4 linked regions of the Coturnix japonica genome follow. The protein of the gene in region 3 purifies or fractionates together with the protein of the main gene of each other region. This does not show direct contact. Links are inferred from orthologs where the notes say so. Each region holds a gene or a part of one and is shown on either strand. Other genes may lie near its edges.

The links.
Region 1: the proteins of ARHGEF6 (region 3) and PAK2 purify together in Homo sapiens (affinity purification with mass spectrometry; 3 studies listed by BioGRID and IntAct, counting the BioPlex papers as one, with this or other methods). This does not show direct contact. The link is inferred for Coturnix japonica from reciprocal best matches to the Homo sapiens genes ARHGEF6 and PAK2.
Region 2: the proteins of ARHGEF6 (region 3) and GIT1 purify together in Homo sapiens (affinity purification with mass spectrometry; 3 studies listed by BioGRID and IntAct, counting the BioPlex papers as one, with this or other methods). This does not show direct contact. The link is inferred for Coturnix japonica from reciprocal best matches to the Homo sapiens genes ARHGEF6 and GIT1.
Region 4: the proteins of ARHGEF6 (region 3) and SLC9A3R2 purify together in Homo sapiens (affinity purification with mass spectrometry; 3 studies listed by BioGRID and IntAct, with this or other methods). This does not show direct contact. The link is inferred for Coturnix japonica from reciprocal best matches to the Homo sapiens genes ARHGEF6 and NHERF2.

What each region holds. Positions count from the first base shown.
Region 1 is NC_029524.1:3,532,287-3,536,311, reverse strand, and holds part of PAK2 (serine/threonine-protein kinase PAK 2), read left to right. Parts: intron 1-2,370; coding exon 2,371-2,567; intron 2,568-3,109; coding exon 3,110-3,247; intron 3,248-3,777; coding exon 3,778-3,864; 3' UTR 3,865-4,025. UniProt on the Homo sapiens protein: Serine/threonine protein kinase that plays a role in a variety of different signaling pathways including cytoskeleton regulation, cell motility, cell cycle progression, apoptosis or proliferation.
Region 2 is NC_029534.1:4,843,218-4,847,927, forward strand, and holds the start of GIT1 (ARF GTPase-activating protein GIT1), read right to left. Parts: upstream 3,050-4,710; 5' UTR 2,938-3,049; coding exon 2,886-2,937; intron 711-2,885; coding exon 577-710; intron 505-576; coding exon 392-504; intron 305-391; coding exon 199-304; intron 120-198; coding exon 33-119; intron 1-32. Other genes in the region: ANKRD13B (ankyrin repeat domain-containing protein 13B), read left to right, coding at 4,585-4,695. UniProt on the Homo sapiens protein: GTPase-activating protein for ADP ribosylation factor family members, including ARF1.
Region 3 is NC_029519.1:4,236,005-4,238,697, reverse strand, and holds part of ARHGEF6 (rho guanine nucleotide exchange factor 6), read left to right. Parts: coding exon 1-66; intron 67-772; coding exon 773-872; intron 873-1,686; coding exon 1,687-1,741; intron 1,742-2,035; coding exon 2,036-2,176; 3' UTR 2,177-2,693. UniProt on the Homo sapiens protein: Acts as a RAC1 guanine nucleotide exchange factor (GEF).
Region 4 is NC_029529.1:6,209,484-6,213,508, reverse strand, and holds part of SLC9A3R2 (Na(+)/H(+) exchange regulatory cofactor NHE-RF2), read right to left. Parts: intron 2,637-4,025; coding exon 2,483-2,636; intron 623-2,482; coding exon 579-622; intron 263-578; coding exon 200-262; intron 1-199.

The sequences.
Region 1 (4,025 bases), on a different chromosome or scaffold from region 3:
ATTGCAAGAGAAGAGTTGCAACAAACTGCAGTTACTGTGTTGGTCTTTTCAGATTGTCATGACTTGCCTTTAATGTTTTGCCCTTTTCATTAGAAGGTCACTAACAAGAAAATTGGATATGATTAACAGTTTATATTGCAGTTCAGTCTTACACCTGTACTGGGTCTCCTTTTCTTGGACTGAAAGTATAATACAATCTAATTAATAAAATAATGAAATGACTAAAGAAAGTGCTTACTTTTCAGGTAATTGTTATGCATGCGTGAGCTTGTCTTCAGTAAGTCAGTTTCTGGTGTGTGTAAATGTGGCAGAAAAAAGAACATTGAAACTACATGGAGTAGCTGACAGGAATGCTGAGAGGTGCATGATCTGACTTCTTGCTGTGCAGGAATATACACAGCATTAAACTGCTGAAAACTTAAGGGATGGATTTGAATAAGAATTTGAAATGCCATGAAAACACATCTCAGCAGTATTCCTTACTCAGATGGTTTATAGTCTCATGTTGGTCACGAGCTGGAGCATGAGGGAAGATTACGAGCAGCCTGGCTTGCTTAGCAGTGTTGTTGGATGCTCTGTTCTCTTGTGTAGGAGTTTGTTTAAAGGAGTTGTGTGTTTGTGAACAAACAGAATGGATTCAGAAACCAAAGGGAATGATCACAGTAGAGTCACCTGGGGAGGGCTCGAAAATAAGAGCTGTCAATTTAAAGGAGCGTGGTGAAAGGGCAGGGCAGCAGCCTGTGGGGGAAAGCACTGCCCCTGGGGAGGCTGTGCAAAGATGATGGGGAGGGAGACTGGATACAGCAGGAGTTAGCTCTGAAATTGTGCTGTGTGAAGGGGAGGTGCTGTGCTTGTGCTAAGGCGAGCCCTCCAGCTGTGTTTGTAGAGCTTCTACCAGCTGTTCAGGTGGAGGGTGGAAGTTGCACCTACTTCAAGCTCTTCCCTTTCTGGAGGAGTCTGCAGCAGGAAGAGACACCAGTCTGTCTGCTTGACTGGTGCCTGAGCCCTGGAAGGGCTGTCCAGCATTTAGGTGATGATGAGATAACATCTTGTGGAAGGAGGCAGCAGCTAGCAGAAGCTTTAAAAGCACACGTCCTGCCCAGAAAAGTGGTTACTGTAAAGCTGCCCTCACTACTAATGCCTGCACATTCTTACCGGCTAAACTGGGATCTGCACCTTGCCTGTCTTTCCTATCCTGGCTGGTTGGGATGGTGCTGAAGGCCCTGCTGATTGCAGAAGACATAAACTGCTGCTGTGTCTCTGGTGTGTTTGTTGAAATGGGCTGTGTGTGTTGAATTGGGTCTGATAGCTGCCAAGAGGCCTGACTGAAGAGATGCTGGTGAGGAACTCAGTCGCTTCTGTAGCGTTGTTTTTTTTCTTTTTTTTTTGTGTGGTTTTTGTGATGGTTTTTTTTTTTTCTCCTTTTCCGGGCAGCACTTTGACAGTGGGTGTGGGATAGTTGTTAATTAACCTGTCCTCTTAGTACAGCTTAGCATTTCAGAACTGTGGCTCTTTTGTTGGTACTGCTTGGCTTAACACTTCAAAATTGATTCGAAATTTAAAATTCTCTCTCTTTCTCTCTCTCTTTCTCTCTTAAACTTAGTGTCAATAATAAAGTAAAATCTTCTTCCTGCCTTAACTGTGTTCTTATTGATGCTTTACATGCCTGGGAAGTGGGAGTGCTGCAGCTGGATAAAGTAACATGATGGAACATGCATTGCTGCTGCACCTGAAGGCTATAGGAATAGGTGACTTTTCTTGTTTTCTTGAGTGTGGTTGTTCTCTTCAAGTAGTTACTTTGTGGAAAGGTTTGCTTGTCCAGGCTCCTTCCTCTGAGTTTCCATATCTCTGTCAGCTGTAGTACCTGTATTTGTTGACCAAATTGCTGTGAAACGCTGAACTCAATGGCTGCAGAACTGACATCTGTTTAGCAGAGTAGAATCCATGCTTTGTAGATGGACCTTTTTTAGCTCAGGCAGTACACACCATGCACAGAAGAGTTGCCTTTGCTGTTCTGCTTCATTTTTTCTTTTTTTTTTTGGCTGGTATCAGTCTAGGAATATTGAAGGAAGCACTGGGCAAAATACCACTCTTGCACAGGGTAATACTTATGTCCCCTTTTGAGAGGACAGAAAGCCTTACCTTTCCCACGTAAGCCTGCCCTGCTTAAACATCTTAAGGTTTTATGCGTGTATTGCACATTGTAGTTTGTAATATGGAGAATATGGTGGGGAGAAGAAATGTTCCCCCTCCATCAGAAGCCCCTCGAGTGTGGAGGAGTAACGTATGTGTGTAGTAATAGAGAAGACTAAGAAGTCCACTTCCATGGGATGCACCAAGGTAACTTCTTTAAATTCTGTTATCCTACAGCCGACTTTGGTTTCTGTGCTCAGATCACCCCAGAGCAGAGCAAGCGCAGCACTATGGTTGGAACTCCTTACTGGATGGCTCCTGAAGTCGTCACACGGAAAGCCTATGGCCCTAAAGTGGATATCTGGTCTCTAGGCATCATGGCTATTGAGATGGTGGAAGGAGAACCCCCGTACCTCAATGAAAACCCCCTGAGGGTAAGAAATGCAGATATAGCTGTTTATGGGTGTTTATCAGGTGAATGTTCTCAGCGGGTTCAGTGTGATTCTTGATAGCATCTACCTTAAAAAGAAAGCCCACAGACACTACCCTTCAGTAGTGCAAGGAAATGCCATCCAAAAGGATGACAGCTGTCTTGAATTTGCACTTTGTTCAGAATAAATGTGCAGATTGTACCTTCATGTAACTGAAACCTTAGACTTTGAATTCCATCTTCTACCTTAGTTTAGGAAAGGTAAATCCATTAGGTTATGAAACATGCTGCTTTGTCAGTCTGGTACTTTCTTTTGGGTGTATCTCTTGAGTAACTGTTGCCAAAAGATTTAGGAGGTTATTTTACTAGTAGCAAGAATGAATTGCAACTTCCTTTAAGTGGCATTCTTAGCATTTTTCATCTCATCAAGGAGAGGCAAGGTAGGCTGCAGGCTCTAACTCATCTAGACAGAGATATTGTCTCTAGGCTGGTAGGTTGTCATCTTATAAGGGCTTGAGCTGGTTGTACAACATTCTCATTTTACAGGCGTTATATTTGATAGCAACTAACGGCACACCAGAGCTTCAGAACCCTGAGAAACTGTCCCCAATATTCAGGGATTTCTTAAACCGATGTTTGGAGATGGATGTTGAGAAAAGAGGATCAGCCAAAGAATTGCTACAGGTAAGAGTCAGCTTCTCTTAGAGTCTGAGAAACAGAGGCCACTTCTAAGGTAAGCGTGTTTTAAAAGGCACTGCAGACTAACACACCCTTCTGTTTTGTGTTTTCCTCTGAGTAAAGAGGAAAGGACTTCAGGGGAGAGTAAGTTGGGAGGAACCACAGTCATCAAGGGTTGTACTGGGTGTTCTGAAGTCTTTCTGGCAGTAATCTGCACCATCATTCTGCCACGTTATCTAACAAGTGGTGATTTACTGTAGTAGAGCCTTTAAAGTGAGCAGAAAAGGACTGAGAGAAGACATTTGAGCAGGAAACCTCTTCCTGAAAAGCAAAAGGCTGATACTGTTTTAGGAAGGGGGGGATGATGAGCAGGCTGTGAGTGCCATCAGCCACTCAGTCTGTTCCTTCAGAAGCACTGATAATATTTGCACTACTTTCTGTATCTCAGGATGGGAAGAGCTGTATGAATATGTGCCTTACACTGGCTTTTTTAAACCATCTTTTACTAATTTACTGTGTTTCTCTCATCCTGGCAGCATCCCTTCTTGAAACTGGCCAAACCTTTGTCTAGCTTGACGCCACTGATCCTGGCAGCCAAAGAAGCAATGAAGAGTAACCGCTAACATTAATGCCACGGCCTACATTTGTTTTTGTTATTATTATTTTATTTTTTTTTTTACAAATCTTTTTAATATATGAAATTGTTACACTTCTGGTGGGAGGGAAGAGATTTGGGGGTGGGGTGGGGGGGGAACATCTGCAAAAGGGAAGCAGCTCTCATCCA
Region 2 (4,710 bases), on a different chromosome or scaffold from region 3:
CCCCCGGGCTGTCTGCCCCCCCCAGAGCTCACCGGGTGGAAGAAATTGGCCTGAGCCCCCAGTGAGAGCAGCCGCAGACACGTCTCCAGGTTGCCCGTCCGCACGCTGGAGTGCAATTGCTGCAGGGGGAGAGGCAGCAGTCAGTGCCAGGAGTGTCAGCAGCACCAAGGGGGGGTCCCCATCACACCGTGCCCCCACCTTGCTGAGGTCCTTGGCGGTGACACCATCATCATCCCGGCACGGCAGCTTGTGCACGAAGGCCAACATCTGGTACTTGGCGCGGATGAACTCTGACTTGGTGGGGCTGGAGACACAGGGTGAGGGGGGGGGGACATCCACCACAGCTCCCCCCATCCCCACAGCCCCATCCCCACACACAGCCCTCACTTACTGCACTTTATCCTGGGGATTTGCCTTCCTGCGCCCGCTCTGCACCTGCGCCGGGTCCAGCAGCGAGTGCTCCCAGATGGAGTTGGCCCCATTGCTGGCCAAGGTGTGCACCATCTATGCATGGGGGGGGGCACAGTGAGCCGATGGGACACCCCCCTTGTAACCTCCCCCCCCGGGTGCACCCACCTGCAGCAGCGTGGCGGGCCAGGGGCTGTGCCGCAGGTGCTTGACGATGGAGATGTGGCGGCCCAGGCTGCGGTGCACGCTGCAGCACTCGTCGCAGATGAGCACACCGCGGTTGATGGAGGCCCAGCCCGGGTCTGCAGGGGGCGTGGGGTGTTATGTAGGGGGGGCTGTGTGTGGGGGGGGGCAGCGTCACCGTAGCAACATGGCGGTTTCCAGGGTGACGGAGAGGGGCTCAGCCCATCGCCAGGGGAAACCCAAAGGGTTCCCTTAGCAACCAAGGGGGGGGGGCAGGATTTGGCCCCCTCATCAGAAGGGCTGACAGCAGCGGGGGCGATGCCAGCACTGTGCAATACACCCTTACGTGCCGATGCTGTGTCCCCTGTGCTGCGGGTGTCCCCATACAGGTGGGTGCCCTCCCACCCACTCAGCCATCACGGACTCAGTGGCTGTGCCCCCCCCAGCAGCCCCACGCCCCCTGCCCGGCCCCGCTCGGCCGCACTGGAGCCCTTTGTGTCCCCAGGAGAACAAAGGGACGTTTGAGCACTGTGCTGGCACCGGCCCCGCTCCAGCCACGGGGGCCCCACCGTTCTTTGGGGGCAGCTCCCCACAGCCAGCACCCCAATGGGTCCAGATCCCCCGGCACCAACAGAAGGGATGGGGGACAGATGGGGTGCCACCCCCCCCTCCACAGGGGGCAGGGGCAGGGTGGGCCATACGGTCCCCAGCGTCCCTGTGCCATAGCAGAGGAGTGTTGTGCATCTATAGGGCCTACACAAACACCGCGCCGCCCCACGGGAGGAAGGGCTGCGGGTGGGAGGGGGCAGCAGCACCACCAGCGACCCACCCCCATCACCCAGTGCGGCGCTTCCTTCCCACCCCCTCCCCAAAACCCCACTGCTGCCCCACACCAGGCAGCCCCGACCCCTCTAATATGGGGGGCACAGCCGGCAGCGGCCACAAGGCAGTGTTGTCGTCGTCCCCCCCCCCAAATCCTGGCAGCACCGCCCGGGCAGATGGCAGCGCTTGGCAGCAGCACCGCCGCATCTGCGCCTCCGCACCGCGGCCCACGGGGCGCTGCCGGGAACAGGATGCTGCGTGCCGGGGGGGGGGCACCCCATATAGCACCCCATATAGCACCTCATATAGCACCCCATATAGGATCCCATATAGGACCCCATACAGCACCCCATACAGCACCTCGCAGTGCCACCCCTTCCTCCTTCATTGGGATCGGGGCGGCTGAGGGCACAGCAGAACGGTGCTACCCCATAACCCGGAGCAATGGGAAACTCCATCCCTGCGCCGCGGGGGCGATGCCGGAGCCGGGCACCCCGCACATCCCGACACCGGCTGCTCCCGGCCCCGCGATGTCGGAAGCGGCCTCTGGACTTTATAACTCATTTCCTCCCATGGCCGCCGGGCGATAAGGGATTGGGAGAAAAAGCTTTCCATTTCCCCCATAGGAACCTCGGCACCGCCGGGTACCTTATAACAGGGGCTGACCCACAGCAGTGGGTGACCCCGCAGCCCCCCATGCACGTGGCCGCCATCCTCAGGGCTCTGAGCCGCTTTCAACGTTCATTCATTGCCCCCAGCGCCGCAGGGATGGGTCTGGGGGTCACAATATGGGGGGGGAGCCATCTTTAGGGTATGTTATAGAGATAATGGGGTGCAGCGGGGATTCCCAGTGCGGGGTGTAAAAGGGGAACCCGGGGGTAAAGTAGGGGGTGAAGAGTGGGGGGTAATGGGGGGCAACAAGGGGCTGTAAGAGATAGAACAAGGGGTCTGGGGGGCACAGGGGGCATTTTAGGGCTCACTGTAGGGTTCCTGGGTGCAGAACAGGGGCACCGGGGGGCACAGTGCTGGGTGCCGAGAGGGAAAGTAGGGGTACAAAGGGATGGGGAATGGGGTGCACCGAGGGTTGCAGGGGGAACGGGGGGGGGGTTTATTTAGGGCACGTTGTGGGGTTGCTGTGGGCAAAGAGGGAGTCGGCAGGGTATGCAGGGGGAACCCTGGGCTCCTGGGGTCTCAGCACGGGGTGTGAAGGAAGGGTGGGGGTCACTGGGACCCCTGGGGTAAATAGGGGGTGCGGGGGGGGGAGGGAGGCACCGGGGTATCGCGGGTACAAAGCTGGGGGTTCAGAGCGGGGCAGCGGGGTCCAGAGCAAAGGGGGAGGGGGGCGTCATCCAGGTGCTGATGCTGGGGGGGAGGGGATGGAGGCACACGCACAACCGAACTGCGAACGGCCCCGCGTGGAGGAGGGTCGGGGGGGGATAACGCCGACGGGGCCGGGCGCGGCCCTTCCCTACCTGCGGCACTGCAGTCCGCGCACACCTCCGCCCGCTGCGCCTTCCGGGACATCCTCAGCGCCGAGCCGGGCCCGGGTCTCTGCGCCAGCGCGGAGCGGGGCCGGGGAAGGGGGGGATGGGGGGGTCGGGTTGGGGAGGGGTCGGGGGGGGGCGGCGGGGCTCGGGGCCGCCTCGCCCTCCTGCCGCCTGCCCTGCCGGCTGCTCGCAGCCCCGGCGGCTCCGCAGGAAGCGGCTCAGGCCCGGCCCCGGCGGAGGAGGAGCAGAACCGCCCCCGCCCCGCGCAGCGCAGCGCAGCGCAGCGCAGTCACGGCGCGCCCTGAGCAGCAGCGGGTGATGGAGCTGCGGCCCTTTGGGGCGGATCGGGGCCCGTCCTGGTGCTGGTTCTCGTCCTCATCCCGGCTCTGTCATCCTCTGGTTCTGGTCCCGGTTCTAGTCCTGATTCTGTGCGTCTCCTTGTTCTTGTCCCCATCCTGGTTCTGTTCCTGGGCATTCCCTGCCTCTGTTCTGGTCCTGCTTTTGGGTATTCCCTGCTCCTGGTCTTGGTCCTGGGTTAGTCTTGGACCTTGTCCTGGTCCCGGTTTTGTCCTGGACAACCCCTGGTTCTTGTCCTGATAGTGATCCGGATCCTGGGCATCCTCTGGACCCGGGCCTGGTTCTCATTTTGGTCCTGGTTCTGAGTTGGTCTCATTCTAGGCATCCATTGGTTCTGGTTTTAGCCTTGGTCCGTGTCCCGTTCCAGGTTCTGACCCAGCCCATGTCCCGGTTCTGATTCCATGCACTCCCCGGCCCTGCCCCCAGCCCCATTCCCAGCCCAGGGTCCCATCCTGCACCCGCACCCCCGAGGCCCCAAATCACCCCGACCCCCACCCCCACGATGGCTGAACCTGGCATAGTGTGTGTGGGGGGGTTTGATACTGGGGGTGCCCATCTCTGTGCCGTTGTCAGATGGGGTCGGGGGGCGCCACCCCCAGCCCGGGGGACCCCGATCAGCGCCCGGGGCTGGGGGCACAGCGCCGTGTCACGCTGCACCCGCCCGGCGCTGAGCTCACCGCTGCATGGCCGTGACGTCACGGGACAGCGGGACCTTTGGGGGGGGGTCGTCACGGCCACAGCCCACCATAGGGGCGGGGAAGGAGCGGGGTGACCCCGCGGGAACCCCATAGGGGCGTGGGGAGGGGTCGGAGGGTGGGGGGGGGGCAGCCGTGGGGCCCAACCTCGCATTGTTCTCTGGCGGCTGCCGGAAAACACGAGCGGAGGGACGGGGGCGGAAAGGGAAATGGGGCCGGGGGGGGGTCGGCACCCCACGGGCTCATCGCGGGGGTCGCGCTGCTGCGTGTTGAGCGCCCGTGGGTGGGGAGAGCGGGGGGGTGCGATAAGAATTCAGGTTGTGCCTTCGGGCGCTGCGGAGCCGTCCCCGAACAGCCCCATACAATGGGGGGGGGCATAGGGCCGGCGGGGGGTGCGGGGAGGAAAAGGAGGAGGAGGAGGAGGAGGAGGAGGAAGGGGCGACGCCGCGCTCAGTGACTACAAGTCCCATGAGGCCGGGCGGTGCGGGGGGAAGATGCGGGGGGGACCGTCCGGGCGGCTCCCACCCACCCCCCCCCCCCCACCGCCCCGCCCCGCTCCGCGCCCCGTTCCGCCCCGCCCCGCGCCCCGCTCCGCCCCGCGCCCCGCTCCGCCGCTCCAGCATGAACGGAGGATGCTCGCGTCTTGCTCGGGCAGGAAGGGGCCGGAGGGCAGATACCCGCTGCATTACCTCGTCTGGCACAACCGAGCCCGGGAGCTGGACCGGGAGCTCAGCGCCAAGCAGGTGGGGCGGCGGTGC
Region 3 (2,693 bases):
CTCAGATCCTGAAGGTGATCGAGGCGTACTGCACCGGGGCGGGCTTCCAGCAGGCACTCAGCTCAGGTGGGCACACAGCAGGTTCTTGAATGCTCCTCCTGCCTGTAGCGCTGATAACCCTCTGGGAAAAAAAACCCAGCTTGTTACATCAGTGAGCAGTGAGACTCATGTTAGGAAACTGTGTGGTGTTCAATCTTTGAGATAAGGGAGCTTCATCTGCTCAGTGGTTTAGTTGCCATTGTTTTTCTTCTAAACACAGAGAATGAGCAGATAGGAGGGCAGATGTGATGCAGCTACTTCACCAGCACTTGTTAGGAATTAAACAACCCTCGTCAGTGCCTGTGGCTGTCAGCACTGAAAACCTGATGCTAATCTCGGGTTGCATGTAGCTTTAGAAAGGAAGCATGAATATTATCTCTCCATCAGCTGCGTATTTAAAAACGAGCTGCTTCATAAGAACCTATCTACCATCTTCAACGCTGGAAATAAAAGTATTTATCACTGCTGGTAAGATGTCAAATTAAATCACTGAACTATCAAATTATGGCACGTTTGTGAAAGGGAGGTCGTGTTCTTCAGAGAGCTCCTGACCTTCCCCGAAGCACTTCATTTATAAGTAATGATGGAGCTGTGAGTGCTCTGGGTCTGGAAGCTGTCCCTCGCTGCTCTGGCCCAGCTGCACACCCAGCCCCTGCATCACCCTCCCAGCCCCTGCTGTGGGCTCCAGGAAAAATCTCCCTTTTTCTTCCTGATGAGCATTTCTTGCACACAGGCTCCCGAAAGGACTCCATCCCCCAAGTCCTTCTTCCCGAGGAGGAGAAAATCATCATTGAGGAAACGAGAAGCAATGGTCAGACTGTCACAGAGGAAAAGTAAGTGAGGCTGCAGACCCCTGGCCAGGCTGCTGCCTTATCCCAAGAGCACCAGGCTGTTCCAGTGGCTATTTTCTCCCTTTTTAAGTACAGTGCTGCATTCTCAGCAGTTCAGAGATAGCTGCGTCCCCCTGGGAGCCCACACAAAGGTCTTGAGAGCCAACATATATAGTCCCAGCTCTCCTCTGGGTGTAGTGAACTGGGTCAGGGAGGACAGATCCAAACAAGGGGCTTTGTTGTTTGTTTTTCTTTTCCATCTGCAGACACTGCGGTCTGCTGCTGCTCCTTGGAGCACTGCCCGAGTGCTCCCAGCCTGCTCCATACCTTCAGCATTGGGGTGGTGCTGTTGGCTCCCTCCTGTTCCCCAGGCAGCGCATTCTTTCTACGGTTACTTTTTGCAGCCCAGCCTGAAGGATTTGGGGCTGCTCTGTAAGATATACTTCAGTTTAAAAACCATTGTTATTATTTTTTGCAGCAGCATAAACAAGGAAGCCAAACCGCAGAGCTTGTTGATAACTTCGAGACAGCAAAGCAGGGTTGGTTTGGTTTGTTGGGGCTGCTGTGTTGCTGTCTTGAAGTTATCAACAAGCTGAATTTTTGGCTGATGTGCTCCTGGGCTGTGTTTCCAGAGTGACCTCAGCGACAGCAATGCTTATAATGGAGAGAAAGAAAATACAAAGGAAAGAGAAAAGCAGGAGATAGAAGCACCATTGCCTCAGTCACCAAGCTCCCGATGCTGTTGCTGTTTTACTGCATTTCAGCTCCTTATTTTTTCATTTAATTTCTGTTTTCTTGCATTTTTTTCTTATTGCAGGAGCCTCGTTGACACGGTTTATGCACTGAAAGATGAAGTGAAGGAACTGAAACAGGTAATTGCAGCTTCTGTCTGTGCTGTGAGATGGCCAGGCAATGTCCGGGAGAAATCTCACCTGGTCCCACCCTGTAGCTGCAGACACATTGCTGCTGCCATGCCCGTCTGTCAGTGTTGAGGGTCTGCTTGAACAAGTCAGACCCCAAATAGTTCACGTGGTTCATCTCCCAAACGGGCAGTGACCCTGGCACTTTGTCACAGTGACCCTGGTGCCTTGTCACCTTGTCACCTTGGCTTGTGGAGCGCATGGGTGTTAACCACCCCTTTCTCTCTATGTTTTTCTGCTTCATAGGAGAACAAAAGGATGAAGCAGTGTTTGGAGGAAGAGCTGAAGTCTCGGAAGGACCTGGAGAAGCTGGTGCGGCGGCTGCTGAAGCAGACAGATGAGTGCAGCAGGGAGGAGACGGGACGCAAGTCATCGCTGATTGCCTGAGCTCGAGGAGAAGCTGCTGGCAGTGTGACCTCAGGTGTATTTTGGGATGCAGAACTGGATCCTTTGCCTCTTCTTCCTCCTCATTTGGTTGGTTCGGGGAATTTTATTACCAAAAAAAGAAAAGAAAAAATATATATATTGTTTTTCTTCCATTTAATAAGGAAATGAAGCAAACAAGCAATCGACCACAACTCAAGCAGTCAGCGAGCGGTCCGTGATTCACAATCCATCTGCAGCAGCTGATACCTCATAGGAGCAAACCCAGCCTGTGCCAGTGACTGCCGCTCACAGAGGGTCTGGCAGCAGTTTCCCATCACTTCTTGATGCTTCCATTCTCTTCAAAAGCACCTGTCCCTATTTATTGAATGAAAGCACGATTGAGTTGGCAATGAGCAGAAACCAAAAAGCACCGTGCTCTTTTTTTCAGATAATCACGACTGGGGAAGCTATTCCCATCACTTTCTTCTTCCCCATTAATTGACTGTAGTGAATTACAGCCCAGCAATACTGCGGGTCC
Region 4 (4,025 bases), on a different chromosome or scaffold from region 3:
GAAGGAATGCACCTCACATGGATTTATAGGGCAGGGCATGACAGAAAACTCCCTGTATTGATTGCTGGGTGGATGCAGGTGTACCTAAGCCTTCAATTTGAAACTGAAATTGCATGCAAATATGATTTTACACAGTACCGTGGCATAAACATGTACATACATATGTGAAAAGAAGGCAGCACGTGTTTGGGGTTTTTACCTCGGATTCCTTCCCAGGACTTTGAAGGTCACTGTGAGATGAAGATGTGGAACCTCCATTCAGCTGTGGGAAACAGAAACATTAGCTCAGGTTGTGTGGGGGCAGAAACAATAAAACCCAATAACCACATGGGGACAAACATCACAGCCAGTCCCAGTGCAGCACCCTATGCCTGCAGGGACAATGGTACATGCAGGGTGCTACTCCTGGTGAAAAGGCACAAATGGGGCTGAGCCCAGTCTTGTGCAAGCCTGAAATTATAGCTACAGCAGGAAGCAATTCTAATTAGCCAGCAGCAGTTAATTGAGCTCAATGAGCCTCAGCAAGGCTAGGAGGTTCCCTCTGCTTTGAGGCAACCTGGGAGCAGGTGGGGACTCACCTGCATCTGTGCAGATCCATTCGTCATGGGCTGAGGCACCACACCTGCGGACCAGGCAGAGGAAACAGAGTGAGTGCACTCATGGGGACGGCCGGGCTGGGCTCCATCACAGGGGCTGCAGTCCCAACAAGGCCCCAGAAGCCCCATGTGCCCCCTACCCCAGAGATGCAGCCAGACCCAGTGTGTGCCCCCCAGAACCGCAATCCCAACCTCATTCAATTGCTGCTTTCATCAGGAGAAAGCCCCTTCCAGCAGGGGTACTAAACCACTTCCCTCCCTAAGCTCTGCATTCAGTGCACTCCTGTTTTTGACAGCGAAACCATTTTTCCTGGGAATTGTTTAATCGGAAATCTTACAGACCAGCCCAACATTCTTTGCTGAAATCAGCAACTTGTTGGTGTTGCAATAGCATGTAGCAAGCAACCCGCTGCCTTTCATGGACCTTGGCACATTGTTGCCCACTTCCAATAATTTGTGTTAGTAATCCTCCATACAATGGCAAATTCAATGCAGATGGGCTGCTAGTTCCCACAACCAAGTCACTGCTCAAGGCAGCCTGGGACAGATGAGACACGGTGCTACAGATGTGCCAGTTGTGACAGGGCTAGTGACTGAATTATACTTAGCACAAAGACTTCCTGGGGGCACAGACCCCATTCTGTGCCCCTCCGTCACCCCAGTGGGACCCCTGAGCAGCCCCCAGCCTACAGCAGCCAAGCAGAGAACAACACTGTGTGCTCATTGTGCAACACTGTACCCAGTGAAGCAAGAGCAGCTTGTAACTGCAGCAGCCCAGGGCTTCTAACTTACAGCTCTGCAGCCATTGTGCATCACAGCATCAATAAGGTTGGAAAAGACCTCCAAGATCACTAAGCCAACCCCCACTCCATCCCACCCTACCTACTGACCATGTCCCTCAGTGCCACATCTCCATAGTTCTTATCACCTTCAGAGACAGTGACCCCACCACTCCCTGGGCAACAGTGCCAGTTCCTGAGCACCCTTTCAGAGAAGAAATGTCCCCCAGTATCCAGCCTGAACCTCCCTTGGCATAACACAGTGCCATCACCTCTCATCCTATCGCTGTTACCTGAGAGAAGAGGCCAACTCCTACCTCACTAAACCCCCATCCTCCTGGTGCAGGGAGCAAGGAGCCAGCGCCCAGCACTCACACACCCACACGCATGGCCCTGGCTGTGTCCCTGCTGCTGGGAACAAGGGCTCCTTTGTGCCTGTGCCAGCAGACCGGGCTCACACCGCTCCTCTTTGAGCCCACTTGGAGCATCTGACACCGCTCTCAGCCCTCAGAACTCTTTGACTCAATTTCTCTGGACCAATCTTCCCACGGAGCACCTGACTGAGCTCGGGTCGGATGGTGACAGGGTGTGGAGTGGACAGACTACTTTCCCTGCCAGGTTCCAGCAGCAAGGGAAACATTCCCTGCAGCGGACATCTGTGATCGCTGCTGTGTGAAGCTCATCTCTGCGTGTGCACATGGGGGCTGTTCTTACTTCTCTCTGCGCCCTCAGGCTCCTTTGCCAAGGGTCATCACGCCCTGCAGCCCCACAGCAGTGCTCTGCTCCCAGACACCGAGCAGCCCTGGGTTGTGCCACCAAAGCATCCCCACAGCTGGACCACTTGCACCAAGTGCTGCTGCACCCATCGACACATCCCACGCAGCATCGTCACCCCACAGCCGCCTTCTGGCAGCCAGTCCCTATGTTAATTATTCACGGTGTAAAAATAATGAGTTGTTTTGTGGCTGGGAGTATTCTCACTGTTTATAAATAGCTGGGTGGTGCTCAGGAAACCGCTCAGGGATGAGACAAGGGAAACATGACTCTGTCACTCCTGAAATCCCACCCTTGTCCTGGTGAGTCACAGGGGCAGAACCAGGCTCTCACCTTTGGTGTGCTCCTCCGTGGGGGTCACCCCCAGCTTTTTGAAGTACTCATCTGTCTCAGGGTCCACCACCAACAACCTGGCTTCGCTCTCTCTGGCTTTGATATGGGACACCACTTCTGAGTGCCGCAGCCCCTCCACATTTATTCCGTTTACCTGCAAAAAACAGCAGTGTTGGACTGCAGCAGAGACATCTCTGACACCCAAAAAAACCTCTGCACAAGCTCCATCTGTCCATTACAGGGAGTTGGCCAAATGACCTTTAAAGGTCCATTCCAACTCAAAGGATTCTATGGCTCTAATTCCTGAATTCCACCGGACCCCCAAACTCTGCCACCTCCTAAACTACATGAGTGCTCAGGACCACATTGGTTCCCCTCTAGCAACTTCAAGCCCAGTATTCATCTTCAGTTTGCCCCCAAAACCTCATCCTGCCTGAGCTCATCCCCAATAAGGGATGAGGGAGGATATCCCTTGTCCCAGCAGCCAGGCAGAGCACAGTGCTTGTCTGTCCCTGACGTGCTGACTCATTTTCCCTTCATCGCACGCGACCTGGGAGCCACCAGCAGATGAGATTTCTCCTCCCAGGCAGAAAGGGAACAATTGTGATTTCTAGGCATTGTTTGTGCTCAGAAATGAACACACCCATTGCCTGGGGCTGGCGCAGACCCTGTAGGAGACACAGTCCCAAGGAGCCAGCCTGGCTTGTAGCCATGCTCCATCCCCACCATCACCCCATAGTCACCCCAATGTCACCCCAATGTCACCCCAACATCACCCCAATGTCACCCCAATATTACCCCAGTCCTGCCCCAGGACTCACCCTGACCCATAGGGAGACCCCAAAGGGGACTGCCCTGCTCTCCCACCCCAACACTGGTACAGCAGGGCTGGGAACATCAATTATTTATCAGAGCCCCAAAGAGCTGGAGCAGGGGGGGGATCAGGTTTCTGAGCTCTCCAGCTCACCCCTCGCTGCTTTGTGCATGCCGGGCACTTGGCCAATGGATGATAAATAAATAACAAAACACCTCGCTGCCATGAACCGCAGCCATGGGTGTCCCAGCCCCAGCATTACACTGCCACAGTGCCAGGGCAGAGCCAGGCTGGGGTATGGTGTGGAGCCCAGCTGGGAAACAAGTAATGTCTGTCCATCTGTCTGTGCTGCTTTAAATGGGGGAACTCATTCTTCAGTAAAAACACCAAGAGACAAACAAGGCGAGGGTGATTCTGTGCAACATCAAGAATTCTGTTGTTCGGCATTAAGCAAAATCGCTTCCAAGAGTGGTTTCTCCCCCCATCTTTCACAATCCTATGCTTTAAGATCTCTCTGCCAAGCGTTTCCCCTGGCTCCAAACTCCTGCCCAGCAGTATGATGGATCTGATGGAAAAGGGCACAGGACTGGGCCTGGATTCAGCATCACGCTTCCCAGCTGAGCATCACATCCCTTCTGCACTCCAGCTCCTCATTTCCAGGAGGATTCATGTTGGTAGGACCCAAAAATGCAACAAAAGAGCCCCAAAGCTCCATGCTGCATGTGCTGT